Macaca mulatta: one gene and its partner. Each later gene encodes a partner of the first gene's protein in a complex. Links are inferred from orthologs where the notes say so. Each region holds a gene or a part of one and is shown on either strand. Other genes may lie near its edges.

The links. Proteins that work in one complex are often made in the same cells at the same time.
Region 2: PFDN6 (region 1) and ASDURF share a complex: the UniProt entries of both Homo sapiens proteins name them as parts of the PAQosome complex. The link is inferred for Macaca mulatta from reciprocal best matches to the Homo sapiens genes PFDN6 and ASDURF.

What each region holds. Positions count from the first base shown.
Region 1 is NC_133409.1:148,995,470-149,005,636, forward strand, and holds PFDN6 (prefoldin subunit 6), read right to left. Parts: upstream 5,385-10,167; 5' UTR 5,355-5,384; exon of another isoform or gene 5,142-5,354; 5' UTR 5,127-5,141; coding exon 5,063-5,126; intron 4,836-5,062; coding exon 4,765-4,835; intron 4,684-4,764; coding exon 4,559-4,683; intron 4,299-4,558; coding exon 4,169-4,298; 3' UTR 4,086-4,168; downstream 1-4,085. Other genes in the region: RGL2 (ral guanine nucleotide dissociation stimulator-like 2), read left to right, coding at 1-24, 246-320, 943-1,214, 1,309-1,404, 1,485-1,596, 1,702-1,992, 2,458-2,572, 2,689-2,900; WDR46 (WD repeat-containing protein 46), read left to right, coding at 5,804-5,881, 5,979-6,188, 6,292-6,372, 6,516-6,628, 6,751-6,838, 6,969-7,030, 7,292-7,396, 7,505-7,655 and 2 more. UniProt on the Homo sapiens protein: Binds specifically to cytosolic chaperonin (c-CPN) and transfers target proteins to it. Binds to nascent polypeptide chain and promotes folding in an environment in which there are many competing pathways for nonnative proteins.
Region 2 is NC_133417.1:94,647,082-94,658,126, reverse strand, and holds ASDURF (ASDURF protein), read right to left. Parts: upstream 6,636-11,045; 5' UTR 6,631-6,635; coding exon 6,487-6,630; intron 4,199-6,486; coding exon 4,145-4,198; intron 2,500-4,144; coding exon 2,424-2,499; intron 1,873-2,423; coding exon 1,802-1,872; 3' UTR 1,781-1,801; downstream 1-1,780. Other genes in the region: ASNSD1 (asparagine synthetase domain-containing protein 1), read right to left, coding at 1-33, 317-1,780.

The sequences.
Region 1 (10,167 bases):
CCGAGGTCTGGCTCCCGGGGTGGGGTGAGTGACTAGCTGGGTGGTGGGCTTGGGGGTTGTGATTATGAAGGGGTGAGGAGTATGTTTTAGGGGAGCAGCCTGAAGGATGGGTAAGGGAGGCACAGAGGGGTGAGGGGTGAGGAGAATGAAATCTGTTCTCTGAGGCAATGGGGAGGGCAAGTGCGGAGGGACGGAGGGCCCTCACATCAATGGCAGGCACGTCTGACCCTGACCCCTGACCTCAGGGTATAGTCCCATACCTTGGCACCTTCCTGAAGGACCTTGTGATGCTGGATGCAGCCTCCAAGGATGAGTTGGAGGTCAGTGGTGTGTGTGTGTGTGTCATTATGATGATGTAACAAGTGGGCTGCAGGGTCCGACAGATCCCCCCCTTGCAAGGGGCTGTAAGGCACAAATAGCTGAGTGTAGGACAAAGCCAGATCTATTTCTGTGCCAAGTCGCCTCAGTGGTCTGTAAATGAGAAACTAGAAATAGCATCTACATTGATCTGTTATTATAAGGGTTAAATGAATTGTATTTGTCAAGCGCTTAGAACATGCCTGAAACGTAAGCACATCTAGGTTTTGTGATGGGGTCCTGCTCTATTGCTAGAGTTTGTTAAATAAACAAATACTGAGACCTTGGGCAAGTTCCTTATCCTCTCTGGATGAGGAATCCTATCCAATTGGATACTATCCAGTCTTCTCATCTGCAAAGCAGACTAGTTGTCTACCTGAGATATTAAATTTCAAGGGTCAAGTGCAGTGCTTAGGCCATGATAGATTGAGGGGGAAGGCAGGGAGGGATGGAAGAGTCAGAGAGGCTAGAGGGAAGTGATTGTGAGTTGGATGTGGCTGTGTGTGTTTAAGAGAGGGGATATTCTCTCTCTGTGGCCTGGAAGGTAGTGTTAGAACTTCCACCCCATCCCCATTTTCCTCGCAGAATGGATACATCAATTTTGACAAGCGGAGGAAGGTGAGTGGAGTGCCTGGGCTGGATGCTGGACTTCTCAATCCATGTTCCCGGAAGGGGAGGGGGGAAAGTCAGGTGTCCCTGAGTTTTGGCTCCTGCAGTTTGAGGGCTCCTTCCCAGGAGTTTGCAGTCCTTTCTGAGTTGCGACGGCTCCAGAATGAATGTCGTGGCTATAACCTCCAACCTGACCATGATATCCAGAGGTGGCTACAGGGGCTCCGGCCACTGACAGAGGCTCAGAGGTGACTGGCGGGTGAGGTTGGGACTCTAGGGCTCTGGCCAGGTGTGGGGGATTGGTGTCATGTCCTGAGCTCTGTCTTTTGCCCCCTAACCCAGCCATCGTGTATCCTGTGAGGTGGAGCCACCTGGTTCCAGTGACCCTCCTGCCCCACGGGTGCTTCGGCCAACATTGGTCATCTCGCAGTGGACAGAGTGAGAGATTCACTGGCTGGGGGATGGTTACTTGGAACTTCCACTTTTCTTCTGATCCTCCCAATCTCCTGCCACTGTAGGGTTCTGGGCTCTGTTGGGGTCCCTACCCCGCTTGTGTCCTGCGAGCGGCCCAGTATGGCGGGAGATGAGGTGCCTACAACTCCTGCTCCTCTGCTGACTCGGCTGGCCCAGGTGAGCTCTGCTCCTGACTCTGACCTTGATGCTGACCCTCACTCTGTAAATGTTTCTTCCTTAATCTCCCTGCCTTCATGCCAGTCCCATGTTGTTTATTCCTAGCACATGAAGTGGCCATCTGTCTCGTCACTAGACTCTGCCCTGGAAAGCAGTCCATCCCTGCACAGTCCAGCTGACCCCAGCCATCTCTCCCCACCAGCCTCCTCCCCTAGGCCTTCTCGAGGTCACCGCCGCTCAGCCTCCTGTGGCTCCCCGCTGAGTGGGGGTGCAGAAGGGGCCTCCGGGGGGACTGGATATGGGGGAGGGGGATCTGGGCCAGGGGCCTCTGATTGCCGAATCATCCGAGTCCAGATGGAGCTGGGGGAAGATGGCAGTGTCTATAAGAGCATTTTGGTGAGGGAGCCTTGGGATGGAGTTGGGGTGAAGGATGGTGTCTTGTTGGACTATAAATGTCTGAGGTTTGGGCAACCAAATGGAATTGAATGTAGTTTTAATTTTGACTTTTGGTTTTGGCAGTTATTTATTTTTAATTTTATCTTGTAAACTCTGGTCTTCAATACAAGCTAAAATTTGTTTTATTTTGATGGCTATTTTGCATTAGTTGCTACACCTTAAACTTTTGGTGGCCATATTAAAATTTCAGAATCAACAGCAGTTTCCCCAAAGGCAAGCAGCTCTGTTTCACTGGGCACCATGTGGGCTGGCTTATGGGGTATAGGAAGCCACCGTATTGGGTTTCCCTGTTCCTTTTAAAGCCTTGAACACAAGTAACCTTTTGTGGTTGGGTTCAGTGGCTAAGGGTAGAAGGATGGGAATTCATGGCTGATTGATTGCTCTTTTGGTCTCCTGTCCTGCCAGGTGACAAGCCAGGACAAGGCTCCAAGTGTCATCAGTCGTGTCCTTAAGAAAAACAATCGTGACTCTGCAGTGGTTTCAGAGTATGAGCTGGTACAGCTGCTGCCAGGGGAGCGAGGTCAGAGGCCACGAGGGAAAGGCAGACTCGGGAGGAGAGTGGAGTGCTTCCACATCTGGGCGGCTGTGGGGGGAATGACTGTGCTTGTGCTTGACATCCATCCCCTGAACCTTCAGAGCTGACTATCCCAGCCTCGGCTAACGTATTCTACGCCATGGATGGAGCTTCACACGATTTCCTCCTGCGGCAGCGGCGAAGGTCCTCTGCTGCTACACCTGGCGTCACCAGTGGCCCGTCTGCCTCAGGAACTCCTCCGAGTGAGGGAGGAGGGGGCTCCTTTCCCAGGATCAAGGCCACAGGGAGGAAGATTGCACGGGCACTGTTCTGAGGAGGAAGCCCCGTTGGCTTACAGAAGTCATGGTGTTCATACCAGATGTGGGTAGCCATCCTGAATGGTGGCAGTTATATCACATTGAGACAGAAATTCAGAAAGGTAGCCAGCCATCCTGGGGCAGTGAAGTACCACTGGTTTACCAGACAGCTGAGAAATCCAGCCCTGTGGGAACTGGTGTCTTATAACCAAGTTGGATACCTGTGTGTAGCTTCCCACCTGTGTGTGCTTCCTACCTGTGCAGCACACAGGTAGTGCTGGAAAAAACGCATCAGTTTCTGATTCTTGGCCATATCCTAATATGCAAAGGGCTAAGCAAAGGCCTCAAGGCTCTGAGCCCCAGGGCAGAGGGAATGGCAAAAAATAGGTCCTCGCAGAAGTTCTTCTTCCCAGTCTGGGGGTTTCTATCACTGTGACAACACTAAGATAATAAACCAAAACACTACCTGAATTCTACTCCCCTGTCCTTGTAGTGCGTATGAACTGGCTGCTATGAGTGGGGGTGGGGAATTGGCTGAAGGTAGATGCCATGGAACAGGAAGGGGCACAATGTTTTCTATCCCCATGAACAGAGCAAAAAGTGAGTGAGGTATTGGTGAAAAAAGTTTCCTCAGAACAATTTTTCTTCAGTAACCTCTCTACCACTGGTCCCTTGCTGCAAATGTGTATAAAACAATTTTAGGACAAGGAAATGGCAGAACAACTTTATGGACAACATATAAACTTGGGAGGACTTATACACTACAAAGCATTACGTGCTGGGATTTTAAGTCAGTTTAAGCTACATTCAAGCAAATTCTAGGAAGACAGAGGCTGAAAAGTACCAATAGAGATGCCAGGGCTGCTGGCAAAGAGGGTAACCACATTTCATCCTGGGGCCTCAGGTTAGAGAACTGTGAATTCTTTTTCAATTGAACTGACATTCCTAGTAATACGCTATGTTGTAAATGCCCTTCCAAAATAATCATGCCAACCAAGATGAGGGAAAGTTAAGGGTTGTATATACAGGCAAGAAGTAGGTTTGAGGACATTTAGGATTTCACTTTCAAGAAAGAAAGAACATCGTGCCACAAAGAAGTTCCAAGTGCAAGAGTTTGAACCTGAGGGGGTAATACAGGTGGTGTGTGTGAAGGTGGAAGGGACTGTGGGGATATGACAGAAGCGCCTGGTCAGGAAACGGAGCCAGGTGTTTTTACATTTTATTAGCTACAGTATAGATGCTAGAGCTGCCTCATTCCCTCCCCTCCCCTCCCCCCACCAAGGGGTCAGGCCTTGCCAGGAGCCCCTGCCTTTGCCGCCTGGGCCCGCTGGAACTCCTGCTGCAGCTGAGCAAGGGTCTCCCTCTGTTGCTCTGACTGCCGCTCAAGATCCCGGAGCTGGGATTCATATCGCTTACTAAAGAGAGACAAGGGAGACAAGTAGAAAGGGAGAAATTAGTAGGACTTACTAAGGAGGGTGCTAAACGCAAGAAAGAGATAGGTGGAAAACTTGAGATTAGGGAAGGGAGAAGGGGGGTTAAAAGGGAAGGAAGGGGTTGGAGGAACTGGAGGACTAGGGGCCACTATGGAGAGCTGTTCTGCAATGGTTCAACACCTCTACTCCAATGGTTCACTGCATCACAGGGTGCAGCACACAGTGGTGGAATAAAGACTCACATTTCAGCTGTGATATAGTCCAGCCTCTTCCCTACTGTGGCCCGAGCCTCCCCCAGCTCCTGTTTGACTAGCACCGGACCCAGAAGTTTAAAGACCACGTTGGACCCATCCAGCAGGGCCAGTTCCTGATGGAGGGATGGGACATACGTGATCAGAACCATGGCTAGTACAGGTCCCTCCTCGCCCCACAAATCCCAGTCCCTCACCTCTTTCACGATATTATTTTCTGTTAGTTGTGCTTCAAGTTTCTGCCTCCCCGACATGGATTTACTCAAGTCTGGGGATAAGAGGAAAGGCAAGATTAGAAACATCAATCCTAGTCAGGTGGATATGGATCTGAGGAAGCAGAAAAAGATGGGGGCAGCGGGTCAGTGAATAGGGAAGAGTACTGAAGCGGGAAAGTCTCTGCACGCAAGGGCCCAGATGGGGCAACAAACCTTATCTCGGTAATGGCTTTGGGTTGTGAGTGCATTGGGCGAGGCCATACCGACCCTGCTCCCTTACCCTTCTGTAGCTGTTGATATTTCTCCACTTCTCCCTGCAGCTTCTTCTGGATCAGCTCCGCCATGGCGGGGATGAAAGCCTACGGGGAGCGAGACAAGGGCGCTGCGTCTCACTCTCTGGAAGGTACCTGAGCTCACTTTTCTGATCTCGCCTGCGGAAATGATAGCACTCTTGAGAGGCAGCCCTGAGGGGCACCGCCACCTCCCCCCGGTCCTGGGTATCGACTCCACCCCGTCCCCAGGATATGGTGGGCGAAACGCAAGACCGTAAGCCTCTCAACCGAAATCCTAACCTATTCACGTTCTGCTTTCAGTAGTAATAAACCCGGAAGTAAACGAGGAATGCCGGGAAAAGACTGCGCCGGAAGTTTCTTTCTGACCCTTGATGGGAAGTGTAGTTCTGACATGTTTAGCGAATGGAGTTCTGCTACAAAGACTGGACTCGGATATTTTTAGGCAAGATGGGGAAACTAACCCGGAAAAAGAAACCGCACCGCTACTTAGCCCCTGGTCCCGGGCCTGCCTTTCTTTTGTAAGTCACTCTTGCATAAGCTGCCGCTCCCGATAAGGTGCCAAGAGCTCTTCCGCCCCTCTAAGGAGAGTGTGCCCTCACTCAAGATGGCGCCTAGAGAGCTTCAGACCTGGTACGCTACTGATTGGATGAAGGATAGAGGGCTTCCGGGAGTTTTCAAGCCGACTGTGGGGCAGCTGAGAGGAGTTTTGCACGTGGATCGCCGTTCGGATGGGCGAGATGGAGACAGCCCCCAAGCCGGGCAGGGATGTCCCGCCCAAGAAAGACAAACTTCAGACCAAGAGAAAGGTATCGGCCTCCCTGGGTGGGAAAGGAAGTTTTTTGCTGCGGGGTCGGGGGGGCGGGGCGTGGGTGCGGAGTATCAGAGTTCCTGATCTGCTTGTAGAAACCGCGGCGATACTGGGAGGAAGAGACTGTTCCGACCACAGACGGAGCCTCTCCAGGGCCTCCTTGTAACAAGAAGAATCGGGAGCTCCGTCCTCAGAGACCAAAAAATGCTCACATATTAAAGAAGTCTCGGATCTCTAAGCAGCCTCAGGTCCCGAAGAAACCCCGAGAGTGGAAGAACCCGGAGTCCCAGCGGAGCTTGTCCGGGGTGAACGTGGAACCTAATGGGTGGCGAGGCAGGCCGCCTTGTGCTTTGAAAGGGTTGGGGTCAACCCAAGGCTGTCTACTAACTGCGTTCTCCTTTCCCCTAGGCCCAAGATCCATTCCCAGGCCCCGCCCCCGTCCCTGTGGAGGTGGTCCAGAAGTTCTGTCGTATTGACAAATCCCGAAAGGTGAGGTCCAGCCGGAGAGTTGGGAAGTGTTGGAGGCAGGGAGTGTCTGGGTGAGTTGAATGGAGGCTGGGCTAGGTAGCTCTCCTGTGACCCCACTTATCCTATGGTTCTTCTGCCACTCCTCCCCACCAACAATGTTATAGCTACCACGTTCTAAAGCCAAAACTCGAAGCCGACTTGAGGTGGCTGAAGCTGAGGAAGAGGAAACAAGTATCAAAGCTGCTCGTTCTGAGCTGCTGCTTGCTGAGGAACCGGGGTGAGTGGGCCCTAATCTGGACCCCCAATCCTTGCCTTATAGGACTGTCTTTTCTCGTTTTTATGTTGGTACACTTGCTTCATATTGGGAAACTTTACTGCTATCCTAACCCTTGCTTTCAGGTTTCTGGAAGGGGAGGATGGGGAAGACACAGCAAAGATATGCCAGGCTGACATTGTGGAGGCTGTGGACATTGCAAGTGCAGCCAAGGTGAGCCTGAGGAGGTAAAGGAGCCAAGGGATTGATTGGTGGTGCAGGACAAGAGAGGAATGGGGGCTAGAAGAAGGCGTTCCTGCAGGGTACTCATTTTTTTTTTTTTTTTCACTCTTCTCTTTCCCAGCACTTTGACTTGAATCTGAGGCAATTTGGGCCCTACAGACTAAACTACTCTCGAACTGGAAGGTAAGGTTGAATTCTAGTGACTCTTGAACTAAGATGTGTTTCCTTAACCACTTTAGCCATGCCCACTTCAGCCATTCGCAGTATTTGTTTGGGTTGTTGATGAGGGGAGGGTCCTTTGATTTGCTTGTGTGTGCGGGTGAGCACCTGCAGCAACATGTGTCTGCCCACCTGGAGAGATGGGGCTGGCATGGGGCAGACCTCAAGTCATCTGAGTCGGTGGTCCCCTGCCTTAACACCCTGCCTGCCCCTCACCTCCAACAGACACCTGGCTTTTGGAGGGCGCCGAGGTCATGTGGCTGCCCTTGATTGGGTAACAAAGAAGCTTATGTGCGAGATCAACGTCATGGAGGCAGTGCGGGACATCCGGTCAGTGGCCTCATTGTCAGCGGTCAGTAGTGGTGAGATAGTCCATCCTTGATTGAATGATAGCCTGTGACCTCATTTCCCAATTGAACCACTCTTCCTCTCCCCCAGGTTTCTCCATTCTGAGGCACTGCTTGCTGTTGCCCAGAACCGCTGGCTCCACATCTATGACAATCAGGGCATTGAGCTCCACTGTATCCGCCGGTGTGACCGAGTGACACGGCTTGAGTTCCTGCCCTTCCACTTCCTCCTGGCTACAGCTGTGAGTGGCCGTGGAGCTCAGGAACTGGGTGGCAGCCCTTGGGATGACCACTTCTCCTTTAGGACCCCAGGAGAGGGAATACAGAGGGCAATCAGGACTGGGTCATTCTCTCTGTCTCTCTCTTTCTCAGTCAGAAACAGGGTTTCTGACCTACCTGGATGTATCAGTGGGGAAGATCGTGGCAGCTCTGAATGCTCGAGCTGGGCGGCTCGATGTCATGAGTCAGAACCCTTACAATGCTGTCATCCATCTCGGACACAGCAATGGTCAGTACCTAGCTTAGTTTTGACTCTCCGACCATCCTGACTTGCATTTCTTCTATATTTATCCTTCATGAGTCTCTTAAAGTTACCCTTTTATTTCCCTTTTTTGTTATCTCTTGGTCTTGAGTTCCCATCTTTCCCAGGTTTAATAACCTTAGGGTCAGGTTTGTATTAGCAACTTTGGTTCTTCTTCTCTTCCAGGTACTGTGTCTTTATGGAGTCCAGCTATGAAGGAGCCACTGGCAAAGATTCTCTGTCATCGTGGTGGGGTCCGGGCTGTGGCAGTAGATTCTACAGGCACGTAAGTTACTGGTGGGATGAGGCGTTAGGTGGGCAGAAAGTTGTGGAAGGTAGTGTGCTTTAGGAGCACAGACTCTAAAGCCAGGATGCCCAGGTTTAAATCACAATGTTACCACTGATGGGCCTTGTAAGTATGGGCATATGGCATAACCTTTGTGTGCCACCGTTTTCTCACCCCAGAAATGGAAATATGAGTGTCTAGTTCAAGGGTCCACAAACTTTTTCTGTAAAGAGTCAGATAGTAAATATTTGATGATTTGCTGATAAGAAGTGAAATCAAAGAGTACTGTGTAGGTATTTAAATACCAAGAGATGGAGTCTCGCTCTGACGCCCAGGCTGGAGTGCAATGGCTCAATGTCAGCTCACTGCAACCTCCGCCTCTTAGGTTCAAGTGATTCTCCTGCCTTGGCCTCCCAAAGAGCTGGGACTACAGGCACCCAGCACAACACCTGGCTAATTTTTGTATTTTTAATAGAGACAGGGTTTCACCATGTTGGTCAGGCTGGTCTCGAATTCCTGACCTCAAGTGATCTGCCCGCCTCAGCCTCCCAAAGTGCTGGGATTACAGGCGTGAGCCACTGTGCCTGACCTTTTTTTCTTTTTTAATCTTTTGACAGAGATGTAGTCTTGCTCTGTCTCCCAGGCTGGAGTGCAGTGGCGTGATCTCAGCTCACTGCAACCTCTGCCTCCCGGGTTCAAGTGACTCTTCTGCCTCAGTCTCCCAAGTAGTTGGGATTACAGGCACCTGCCGTTATGACCAGCTAATTTTTGCATTTTTTTGTAAAGACGGGGTTTTGCCATGTTGGCCAGGCTGGTCTTGAACTCCTGACTTCAGGTGATCTGCCCGCCTCGGCTTCCCAAAGTGCTGGGATTACAGCTGTGAGCCACTGCACCCGGCCCACACATTTTTAAGTTGTAAAATTAAACATAATATGGCCAGGTGCAATGGCTCACACCTGTAATCCTAGCACTTTGGAGGCTGAGGCGGGTGGATCACCTGAGGTCAGGAGTTCGAGACTAGCCTGGCCAACATGGCAAAACCCTGTCTCTACTAAAAATCCACAAAATTAGCCGGGTGTTGTGACAGGGGCCTGTAATCCCTGCAACTTGGGAGGCTGAGGCAGAAGAATCGCTTGAACCTGGGAGGCAGAGGTTGCAGTGAGCCGAGATTGTGCCATTGCACTCCAACCTGGGCAACAAGAGCAAAACTCTGTCTCAAAAAAAAAAAAAAAAAAAAGTTAAACATAATATGAGGCTGGACACAGTAGCTCATGCCTGTAATCTTAACACCTTGGTAGGCTGAGGTGGGCAGATCGCTTGAGCCCAGAAGTTCGAAACCAGCCTGGGTGACATGGCAAAACTCTGTCTCTACAAAGATAGAAAAATTAGCCAGGTGTGGTGGTGCATGCCTGTAGTCCCAGCTACTCAGGAGGCTCAGGTGGGAGGATCACCTCAGCACAGGAGGTTAAGGCTGCAGTGAGCTGTGATCATCCCACTGTACTCTTCCATCGGCAACAGAGGGAGACCCTGTCTTAAAAAATAATAATAAATATGATATTTGTGTAATACAGATCTACTAATGGGAAGAACTGAATTTCTCTTTTTGAGGATAACATTTTGCCTAGTTCATGTACAAAGTTAGTGTTCCAAATGATCAAACTTGACTGTAGATACTCATGTTCATGCTGATCTGTAGAGATTTCATGTATTTCATCTTTGAAAATATCTTTTCACACAGTTAGGTAATGATAGGTGATATGTGAGGTGCTCAAAATGCTGTGAAGCACTTATGATTGTGTCACTGTGACTTGTAGCGTACAAAGCAGGAGTGCAAATCAGGATGCCGTATTCTCTGTCATGACCACTCGGCTGTGTGTTGTAGAGCAAAAGCAGCCACGGTGTAAATAAATACTGAGTGGCCATGTTCCAATAAAACTTTATTTGTGGA
Region 2 (11,045 bases), on another chromosome or scaffold:
TTGCTCATCTGCACCAATTCCAGTGAGAACTACCTATGCGGTTTAAAGAAATCCATATAAAAATGTTATCAACCACACAGTAAAGAAAACAAGATAAAAGAAAAGCTTAAAAATTGCAAACCTAAAGATAACACTTTAGGAGAAAAACAAGATAAAGACAGAAAATAGTAAAATATATCCAATTCTAAAGAAGTCACATATGTTGTGTTGTAGTTTAAATGCAACTAAAATATGCTATATTCTTACAATCAAAATGCTACAAGCTTTAAGGGTCAAAAATAGGTCTCAGAAATTATCAGAAGAAACAGTGTCATACCTTTGCACTGCTCTGATAGGATTTCACTCCATCTTGGGCCACTAACCAACCAATTCCTCTAGAAGCAAACCAGACTGCACAGCCAATGCTATCATCCAAAACTGTATCCAACGGCTGAATTAAGTGACATATTCGAGTCCTTCTTAATTTCTGCAGTTCTTCCATAGAAACATTAATTTCAACAAAATTCCAAATTCGGGAAGGGCTAACAGCTTTTAGTTCCTTTAGTCCCGCCCTTCCTGTGATTCTATCTGGTACACTGACATATTTATCAGGACTGTCGTCATCAGCAGCAGCATCATCTTTAGAGAATTCTTCAGAAGATATTTCACATTTATTTTTCTGTTTATTCCTTTCTTTGTTAAAGCTAGTTGGCATGGTCTTTTCTTCAGCTATGAAAGCTACATTAAGAAGATCAATTGGTTCATCTAAAGGAATATGACGGTCAGCAAGGGTTGCAATAACCATGGAATCAATGCCCCCAGAAAACAGGATTGCAACATTTGCTTTCCTATCACACATTTTCGAAACTTCATTTGCTGTCAGGTTTTCACCCCTAGGTAAACACAAGACACGTTTCTTGACTGCTACACTCAAGACATCAATGAACTGCTGAATTACTTCCTTTATGTGTACATCAGTAAGAAAGACCTGAAGTGTCTCTCTTGTAGGTGGCACATTGGAAATATTACTGCAATGAGTCTCCAATGCAGCTTGTGGCAACATCATATTTAAAGGAACAACAGGTTTTTCAAGATACAGTTTGGCTTCATTTGCTACCACGGATACAAATGCTGGTAAGTCTGCTGAAATTTGACTCAGGCTATTAACATTTTCTTCAATAATATTCTCCCTAGAAATATATTTCCAAGGATACAGTTGTAAAATAATGCATCTGGAAATGGCAGTAGACTTAAGATCAATTCGGAAAAGTCCAGATGCTGGAACTTCTTGCCACTGATTTGCCAATCCAGATGTTTTGGTGCCAACTGAAGAGAGGCAGAAACTCTTGCCCAAATTACTAAAATGCCAAAGCAAGCTACGGCGACCAAAAAAATCCCTACCAAACCATAAATAATGACTAGATGCTTGATAATATATAAATGACCAGGGACCTTGCACTTCTGAGAAGAGTGACAAAATCTCAGATTCATTCTTACAGGAGGAAAGATAATTAAACAAAATTTGAGTATCATTCTCTTCAGCTTCAACCTTTATTCCACTAAAAATTTCTCCATTCCACAGAAACACATTGCCTCTTTCATCTTCCACAGGCTGGGTAGTCAAAACACCCCTCAAGTGTAGGACGTGACCAGAAAATAAACACTGGTAGTTAACATCAGACTTGAACAATTGTTTACTACTATTGGGTCCCCGCTGTTTAAGATTATATAGTAAGTCCTCTTTTAAATCTTGACTGAAATGCTCAGCAGAAAAGTTTACAGAACAACAAATGCCACACATTGTTACGTGAAATTAGGTTGACTATTTCTTGATTTTGGTCTTCTCTAAGTTTTCTATTTCTTGGTATTCTTTTTTCAGTTCATCCAATATACCTGTTGCAGGGAAGGAGAATAAATATTAAATAACATAAAAATTCTTGGACTTTTACCTAGCAATTCAGAGGGCAAAACAAGCTGTTTACCAAAATCAAACCATATAAACACACACACTGTGCCAGTGCCAATGATAATTAACAACAGGCTACTAACAAAGAATGTTTATCTTTTACAAAAATAGCTTCTGTTTTGCCGGGTGCTCATTTTGGCCCAAGCACTTGGCTAAGCACTTTTTACACAGCATCTTATTTAGATCCCACAATACCTTGGAGGTTTAAAGTATTTCACCCAAAGTCACAAAGGTAGAAAGTGGTAATTGTTTGTCATACTTAGGCCTGTTTGAAACTCTAAAGCACATGTTAATAACTATTGCTAACACATATTATGATATATATATATATATATATTTATTTAAACTGTTGACTCATCTTTGGAAGGCTAACTTGAAGAAAACCAAACTGCTGCATTAATCTTTTGATATATATTTTAACATTCAGATGAGTATAATTTAGGCACCCCCCAAAAGCCACAAAAAAGAAAAAACTTACTTTTGCTCTCAGATAGCATTTCTGTTCGGTCTGCAAGAAAGAATATATTGCTGTTCTGTTGCTGCCTATATACTTTCTGGAAAACATAATTTAGGCTAAAATCAAATTTTGATCTAAAAAGTAGATGTTAAAATCCTTAACCCTATTATCACTAATTCTTGAACTTCAGTAATATATATTTAGTACTATACTTTAGCAAACACAGATAAGCAAAAACACAAATAAAAGTCATCCATTGCCCAACTACCAGAAAGTGCTACTACTGAAATGAAACTATTTTCTCTCCATATACCATTTTAACAAAAAATGTTCTTACTGTACCTGCAGATTTATGCTTTTATCAATGAGCAATATATTGAGAACACTTTTTCTTTTTTTTTTTTTTTGAGACGGAGTCTTGCTCTGTCGCCCAGGCTGGAGTGCAGTGGCGCGATCTCGGCTCACTGCAAGCTCCGCCTCCCGGGTTCACGCCATTCTCCTGCCTCAGCCTCCCGAGTAGCTGGGACTACAGGCGCCCACAACCGCGCCCGGCTAATTTTTTGTATTTTTAGTAGAGACGGGGTTTCACCGGAGAACACTTTTTCTTATCAGTAAGTGTTATTTTACAAGAACACAAAAATGGCAAAGCAAGCTACGGCGACCAAATTATACCTACTGCTATACAGGTATAATATATTACAGTTTATTTGCTCGCTTCAAATACTAAACATTTAAAGTGCTACCAACTCTTTGCTATTGTAAATCAACGTTGTGATGAATATCTTTGTAACTAAATCTTCGTGAACTCCCATGATTCTCTCCTAAGTATCAACTACTATAAATGGAACTGCTGGGTCAAAGTGTTATAGTTTGAGTTGTTGAGATTTGCCCTCAATTTGCCCTCTAGAGAAAGTCTGTATTAATTCTGCCTCAACTTTTTTTTTTTTTTTTTTTTTGAGATGGAGTTCTGCTCTGTCGCCTAGGCTGGAGTGCAGTGATGCGCTCAGTTCACTGCAACCTCTGCCTCCCAGGTTCAAGAGATTCTTGTGCCTCGGCCTCCCGAGTAGCTGGAAGTACAGGCAGGCACCCAGCTAATTTTTTTATGTGCTTCAACTTCTAATATTCCATAAGTGACAACATCAGAAATATCTAACCAGTTATTACATAATCTTTAAAATACTTTTAAGAGCTCAAACTCATTTGTTCCTGAATGTTAAAATGTAATTTGACACTGAAACTATACACAAAGCAGTAGCTTGCTTATTTATATTAATGGAAATGGCATTAAATAACCATGTTACACATTTATAAAAATCTATGTAAAAATTTTTTGGAGGGAGGGGAAGCAATGTATTTTTTTTTGTTCAATAATTATCCACATTCATTTGAAAGAAAAGTTTCTTCTCATCTCAATATAAAGTTTGTTTGTATCAAAAGAAAACACCAAATTCAGGGTATAAAATAAACATCATCAGTGATTACAGCTCCAAGATACCAAAATACAACTAGTATCATTTGTTGCAAATGCAATGTGAATAGCGTATGATAGAAAAAAGACATCTTCAACTATGAGATCTATCCATTTAAAAAATAGACACTTGCAATTTAAAAAGATGCTGAAATACTATACATTTTATTAAAGTATGATTAAATCTCATATATAATTCTTATAACTTTAATATATAGTTAACATAAATAAACCTCCCACATATTTGTTATTCAGAATTCCTATAATAACTCACCCTATTCTTCTTAAGGTTAGAAAGTTCATCCACCACAATTTTTTGTTCTTTAATCTATTGAAATAAAGAAAAACTCCTTAAGCTAGATGTTTTCAAAGTATGTTCAATGAGAATCCCTTAAGGGGTTGTTTTAAAATTAGAGATGGGATAAGGGGCTATGATGTACTGGTTTTCCAAATGGGCAGTTCATGAATATACAGATTATCTTCAACAGCAGTCTGTGTGGGGGTCCAGTTGGGGAAAAGTTGGAGGAGAAAAAACAGTGATTAGACTTGCAAAATGTTAGGTAACCCATTAAGATCAGACAGGGGATTTGGTGTTCGTAACCAGCAATCATACCAAAGACTACAGTTACTCAACAAGGTTTATACCTTTTGTTAAAAATATATGATATACACCAGACCCAGCACGGTGGCTCATGCCTGTAATCCCAGCACTTCGGGAGGCCAAGGCAGGTGGATCACCTGAGGTCGGGAGTTCGAGACCAGCCTGACCAACATGGAGAAACCCCATCTCCACTAAAAATACAAAATTAGCCAAGCATAGTGTCGCATGCCTGTAATGCCAGCTACTCAGGAGGTTGAGGCAGGGGAATTGCTTGAACCTGGGAGGCAGAGGCTGCGGTGAGCCAAGATTGCACCATTGCACTCTAGCCTGGGCAAGAAGAGCGAAACTCTATCTCAAAAAAGAAAAAAATATATATATAAAAATATATATATATACACACACACATACATATATGATATACACCAAAAGGAATTCCAGTCTTTCAATTAAGCTGTGATTTAGATGGGGGGAAAAAAACAGCAAATTGAATGAGGGGTGGGTTACTTTTTTCAATATTTTCATGATTTTATGTACTAATCAGTGCAGTCAAACACATTCAAATCAAGCAATGCCTTATTTGGGGACAGTAAGACCTATCATGTTCCATCTTTGTATTTTTCCCTTTTTAGCTCAATGGCTAGCATGGAGCTGGCACTGTTGAACTGGTTTTCTTTTTTTTTCAAACAGGGTCTTGATCTGTTACCCAGGCTGGAGTGCAATGGCGAGGTGACGGCTCACTGCAGCCTCGATTTTCCCAGGCTCAGGTGATTCTCACATCTTAGCCTCCGAGTATCTGGGACTACCGGCCTGGGCCACAGTGCTGACCTGGGCTTTATTTATTTGTAGGGGAGGGCTCAACTAAGGTGAAAACTAAGTTTCTTTTTAACTCTTTAACTATTTATTTTGTGAACACGACTAATTACATAGTATCACACGAGCCTCTAAAAGCAGCTTTTATAATATTTGTGCTACCTCACACACCTCAGGGATTTGTATCCACCAGTATGCGTAAGGGGCTTGCAATGGTGGTAATCAGAATGGACTGTGTGTCTTTTGAAAATTCACCCCCAATTCCCATGAGTGTGCACCTTTCTGTCTCCCCAGTTGGCAGAGCTGTGGTAATGAGGTTGAATTCCAAGGCCGAATTTGTAAACATTCTTTGAGACTTAACGTTTGTACAGGGCTTTCCCATTTTAGGAATGACAGGTGTACATTTCACTTTACTTCAAAGAAGGTAACTGATACAAAAAGATTAAAGAGACTTGCCCAGATGTCATTGCAAGTTTGGGACAGAACCAAAGTAGAATCTAGGACATGTAGTACCTGAAGGGCTATAACCCTGCCCATCCCCATTTATCTTTAAAGGTTTTGTTTGTTTATGGCAGTTAAGGCTTATATTATATTGGCTTCCTCCCTCCCCCTTTTTGGTATAACAGTGACAACCCAATGCGTGTTTTAGGACCATTGCTTTGGTTAACGGAGAAGCAGCAGCTAACAGGTGGATGAGGAGAGACCAGTTAGGAAGCCCTTGCGGGGGGCGGGGGGCGGGGGTCCCGATGGCAGATGACAGTGGCTTATTTGGGGTGGTAAGTGTTCACGGTGATAAAGGGACATATTTGAAATGAGTTTCAAAGGTAGAACTGATAGGCTTCCATGATGGGCGTCAAGGATGGATCCCAGGTTGCTGGCATGGTTAACCGGATGCAGAATATCTGCGATGGAACAGATTTGGGGTGGGCGGTATTTCCCAAAGTTTAAAAACACCCAACCAGAACTCCGCCCCGCTGCCACCTGGGTCGTGTCTCGGGGCAAATTTCAATATCTCCCTTTTCGCAACTGTTTTCAGAAAATAAAAGGACTAACTGTAGCTGTCAAGTGCTAAGAATAAAAAGAGAAAAGTAGCAGGGCAAAGCCGAGTCCCGGGCAGGCCCCACGCTGCCCCCTGCGGACCAACTTTAGGGTCCTGTGGCGCCCAGTCCCAAGTCCAGGAGCCTTTCATTGCGTCTGACACTCACCTTGCTGCTAAGATCCTCCTTGTGTGGGGTCGAATTGTCGGTGGGGATCAGCACAGGGCTGTCCTCTGGGCGCGTCCCTCGGTTGGGCATTTCCACCCACCGCAAGAAGCGCAGTATGCTCGGCCCTGAAGGAACCTCGAGCATTAGTCACCGCGCATGCGCGCTTCCAGCCGCGCGCACCCTTTCTTTTCCCGCGAGTTTTACCAACAGCGTCTGCGCGCTCACTTGAACGCATGCGCAGGCCGTGTCTGGCCTGGGGAGGAGTTTCGCGCCTGCGCGTGGCTGCTTAGGGCGTGAGTAAACAGTCTGGTTGCAAAATCTGAGGTTCCTGTACTGGCCTCTAGTGGTTGAGATGCAGAAACGCTCAGGTGGTTTCTTCATGACGTCTTATCTAGTATACTACGAGTTATGTGCGCCCTCCAGTGGTACATGTAAAGAATAGCCGTGCAATAGAAATAGCTCTTAATATAATATGTATTATCTAGGGAAAGATGAAGTTGAGGAACATAGGAGATACTGTGTTGGCAATAGAACTATACAGACTTGGTAAAGTTTTGGTTAACTCGTGGTTAGGGTTGCCGGATAAAATACAGTATGAATTTCAGATGAATTCGTAGTTTTTTAGTATGTCTATGTCCCCTGCAATATTTGCAATATCTCACTTCCGTGGAAAAAAATGACTAAAACTTGGAAATAGGCAAAAGAGATTTATTTACTGGATGTTCTTTCAGTGCTGCTCTGAACTTGACTTTATTATGTTGACTTGACTGGGCTGTTTTACAATTCTCTAGGGGCAAAGGTTAACTTTGGTAGAGATTTTGGTTTGGTAGAGATGCAAATAATTTTTTTGGTGTACCAGATACCAACACAGGTTATGATGTATTGTTCTGTAACACATTCGTCAGCTTTGTCTCTAACCCTGCAATTGTGTCCTAACATTTCTTTATTAATATATGCCTAGCTTCTCTAATATTCTGTATTGGTTTTAAAGTCTTATCGGTTCCCTCACTAACTAATGAGTTGAATAAAACTTTGACATGTATTTGTTTTATGTTCACATTAGAGACATGATTTTAGGTTTTTGAGAATTATACTATATTATTGGAAATCTTAAGGTTCCACAGAGATGCCCAAGTGGATTTATGTGATGAATCAAACTGTCTCGCGACAGAAATGTATACATCATGGGTTGTTTAAGTCCAGGCATGTTTTTTATTTGCTCTTAGAGAAATCCGAAGTGGTTATATATTTTTCCTTCTTAATTGATTTTTAGAATTTTGTTTTTGTTTCTGATTTGTATATTCCTGATAAGCTATTCAGGTATAACTTATACATTACTGATGCATTGATAGCAGCAATGATTGGGAGTTTGGTTTTGTGGTCTAACCATTTGGTGGTATCTGTTGGATGATGGACGTCTAGTCTTTCTTGGTAGAGAGGTAGATAGGTGCAGTGGCTCAAACCTGTAATCTCAACCACTTGGGGCTGAGGTGGGAGGATTGCTTGAGGCCAGGCGTTCAAATAAATAAATAAGAGAGGCGAAAGAGACACCAGTTTGTAAGTCTTTTTGTTTATCGTTTGTGAGCTCAAATTAATTAATTACTTTTGTGTCCACTGAGAGGGAAGGAGGACAGCTATTTGAGATGTGGGTTGGTGAGGTTTTGTTTGTTTGTTTTAACATAAAGGCCGCTCAAGCAGAAGAGCTGGTGAATTTTTGTGGTTTTTGTTTACTTTTGACCTGAGATTGAAGTTGTAAAACAGAAGCAATAACCTCTCTATGTGTCTGTGTGTGTCTAACTTAGAACAGACTTTATGTCTCCCTGGGTGAATATAAAATATTTCCCTACTTCTGGAGTGTATTAATAAATCCCACTATAATATCTCTAATTAAAGGGCCTCTGTTCTGACTAGTTTATAGAGATAAATAAGCACTGATATAATCCCAATATTTTTAAAAGCCCAAAATTTCCAATATTTTAAATGTGCCAGATTTTTAAGGAAAAGAGTTCTTACAAAACCGCTAGTTTAGAAACATTTTAAGAATCCAAGTTTAGGAAGAAGCTCCAAAGTGAAGTATCACTTCACTTTGTTGTTGTAATTGTTGTTGTCATTATTGTTGTTGTTTTGAGACAGAGTCTTTCTCTGTTGCCCCGACTGGAGTGCAGTGGTACAGTCTCTGCTCACTGCAACCTCTGCCTTCTGGATTCAAGCTATTCTCCTGCCTCAGTTTCCCAAGTACCTGGGATTACAAGTGTGTGCCACCAACCCGGCTGATTTTTGTATTTTTGTTAGAGATGGGGTATGGTAGTATGTTGGCCAGGCTGGTCTCAAAAGTCCTGGCTTCCAGCTATCTGCCCGCCTCAGCCTTCCAAGATGCTGGGATTATAGGTGAACTGCCAGGACTGGCTTCCACTTTGTTTAGAGGTAATAGTGAGGCTTATCTGTAAAGCTGAAGAGACTGAGCATCCTAGGATATTGGTCTTCTTTGTGCCCCACCTTCTATTGTAGTAGATGGGGGAAGTAAGGTAGGCCGTAGGACCAAGGGGGAGAAGTCAAGGGAGAGTTAATATCACAGTCTAAATAGGTGATTTGTATCAATAATTCTGTCAGAAGGTGACAGGACCTGAGATATTGGACTGATGTTTTCCAACGGGGCTCTAGGATCTGGGAAAGGAACTACTGGATCCTTAACATAAAGTCTTTGCGGGGAGAATGCAGGGAGAATGCTTTGTTGCCCTAGTAACAAAGCACACCAGGCTGGTCTTGGTCTCTCAAGGGAAATGGCAGAGTCTCCAAAGTACTGGTCTAGAGATTAGTAAATCCTTTTTACTTGAGATAAGGCTGGTTCTCAAGCTTTGATTCAAAGCTGTGGAATGTGGACGTCAGTCCTCCCTGGCTCTTGCAGCCAACTTCACTTTGGAGCTCTTGTGCAGGGCAGAAACCTAAGATGTGGTGAGTGTGGTAGGGTGCAAATTTGAAGATGCACTGACTCTCAGGGTCCTGCAGTAAGTGCTCTTAAAATTTTCTGCCCAGGTGCCTCACGTACCCCTCATCTAAGCATATTGGTCTTCCTTCCAATCCACTGCTCTCCTGCCAGTTGGATTTGAAGATTTCGCTGTTGATAGTTCTGTTTTACAATCTAGAGGTCAGTGTGGTTTGTGAATGACACCAATGAAAGATGCTTTATATGCCGCCCAAGCCTGTTGTGTCTTCACATAGTCTGACAGCTACAAAAAAGGTTAATCGAAATTATCTTGGCTTCTTCTAGAACTCTTCCATATGAGTGCCACTGTCCACCTCTTTCCCAAAGACTGAGGACATGCTTGAAACATTTTGGTCTACATTATTGAAGAAACAAAATTAAATGTAATAGTCTGTGATTTAGGTCACAGTACATGGCTGGTCCCATTAAATAAAATAGTTATGAAATGTTTACTATCAGATGAGTTGCAAATAATGATGAAGCATTTATTGTTACTGAATTTGAATTTAGATGCTTTAAAAACATGTGGAAGTATTTCCACCTGAGTGAAGCAATAGGGACAAATAAAGCCTAACTGATATATTAGTGATAATTGTTTATGTACTCAGATGATGTTTTTCTTCATACAATGCCTTCACTATAATGCAGAGCTCTTCACAGCTCAAGTGTTTTTGCCCTACTTCTGATCGTTAGCAATAATAAAGTTTTACCAAATGATTAATTAATATCTGTTTGTGACCACATGTAACTCTGTGTTGGGGTCTTCACAATTAGGAAAATACTATTGCTACCACAGTGAAAGCAAGCAAGTGAGCTCAGTTCACCCGTGTTTGCTTGTAGGTTCAGTTGTTTTGGTTGTAGAACCATTGCCATGCTATGGTTGTTGGCTTGTCCTAGTAAAACAAAACAAAACAACACATGTTTATGTATCTGAGTTTCCAATTATTTTCTAATGGAAGTTGAGATTAAATTATTAAGGCCATACTTCCTGCTGGTTTCATGTTATAATCATAGGTGTGGCTGCCACTGTGATTGAAGTCCCTTGAAAGAAAGGGGACAGGATGGCTTTTGCAGAAGGAGGAATATACAAAGGGAACAGGGGGAGGGGAGGAATTGAAAGGGTAGGAGGGAAGTTGAGCGGTTAGAACTTGGCAGACTTTTGTTCCAAGAACCAGACAATATTATTGTACCACTGGCACTAATATTTGAACTACTAGTGATTTTACTTAGAGTCAAGTTACTGAAGACAAAACACATGTAGGTAGAGTTCTTTGTGAATTCAAATCAATAACTGGGTTTTTTTCTACAAGGTATATGGTTTAAAGTATCTTAGTTGAACTATTTAGAGAAAGCTTAGTTATCTGGGCTTGAAAATTTTTACCACAAGATTCACAAGACCCTGGATCATTTTTTTTTCCATTTATTCCATTCAGGAATTCTATCATTCATAAATTTTATTTTCTTGAAGGTCATAAAATATTTAATGAATTTCCTAAGCATAGTAACCAGACTAGTATATCCCTTGTTATACACAAGGAAGGTTACCTATTAGAGGAAGAACCAGAAAGGAATCCAT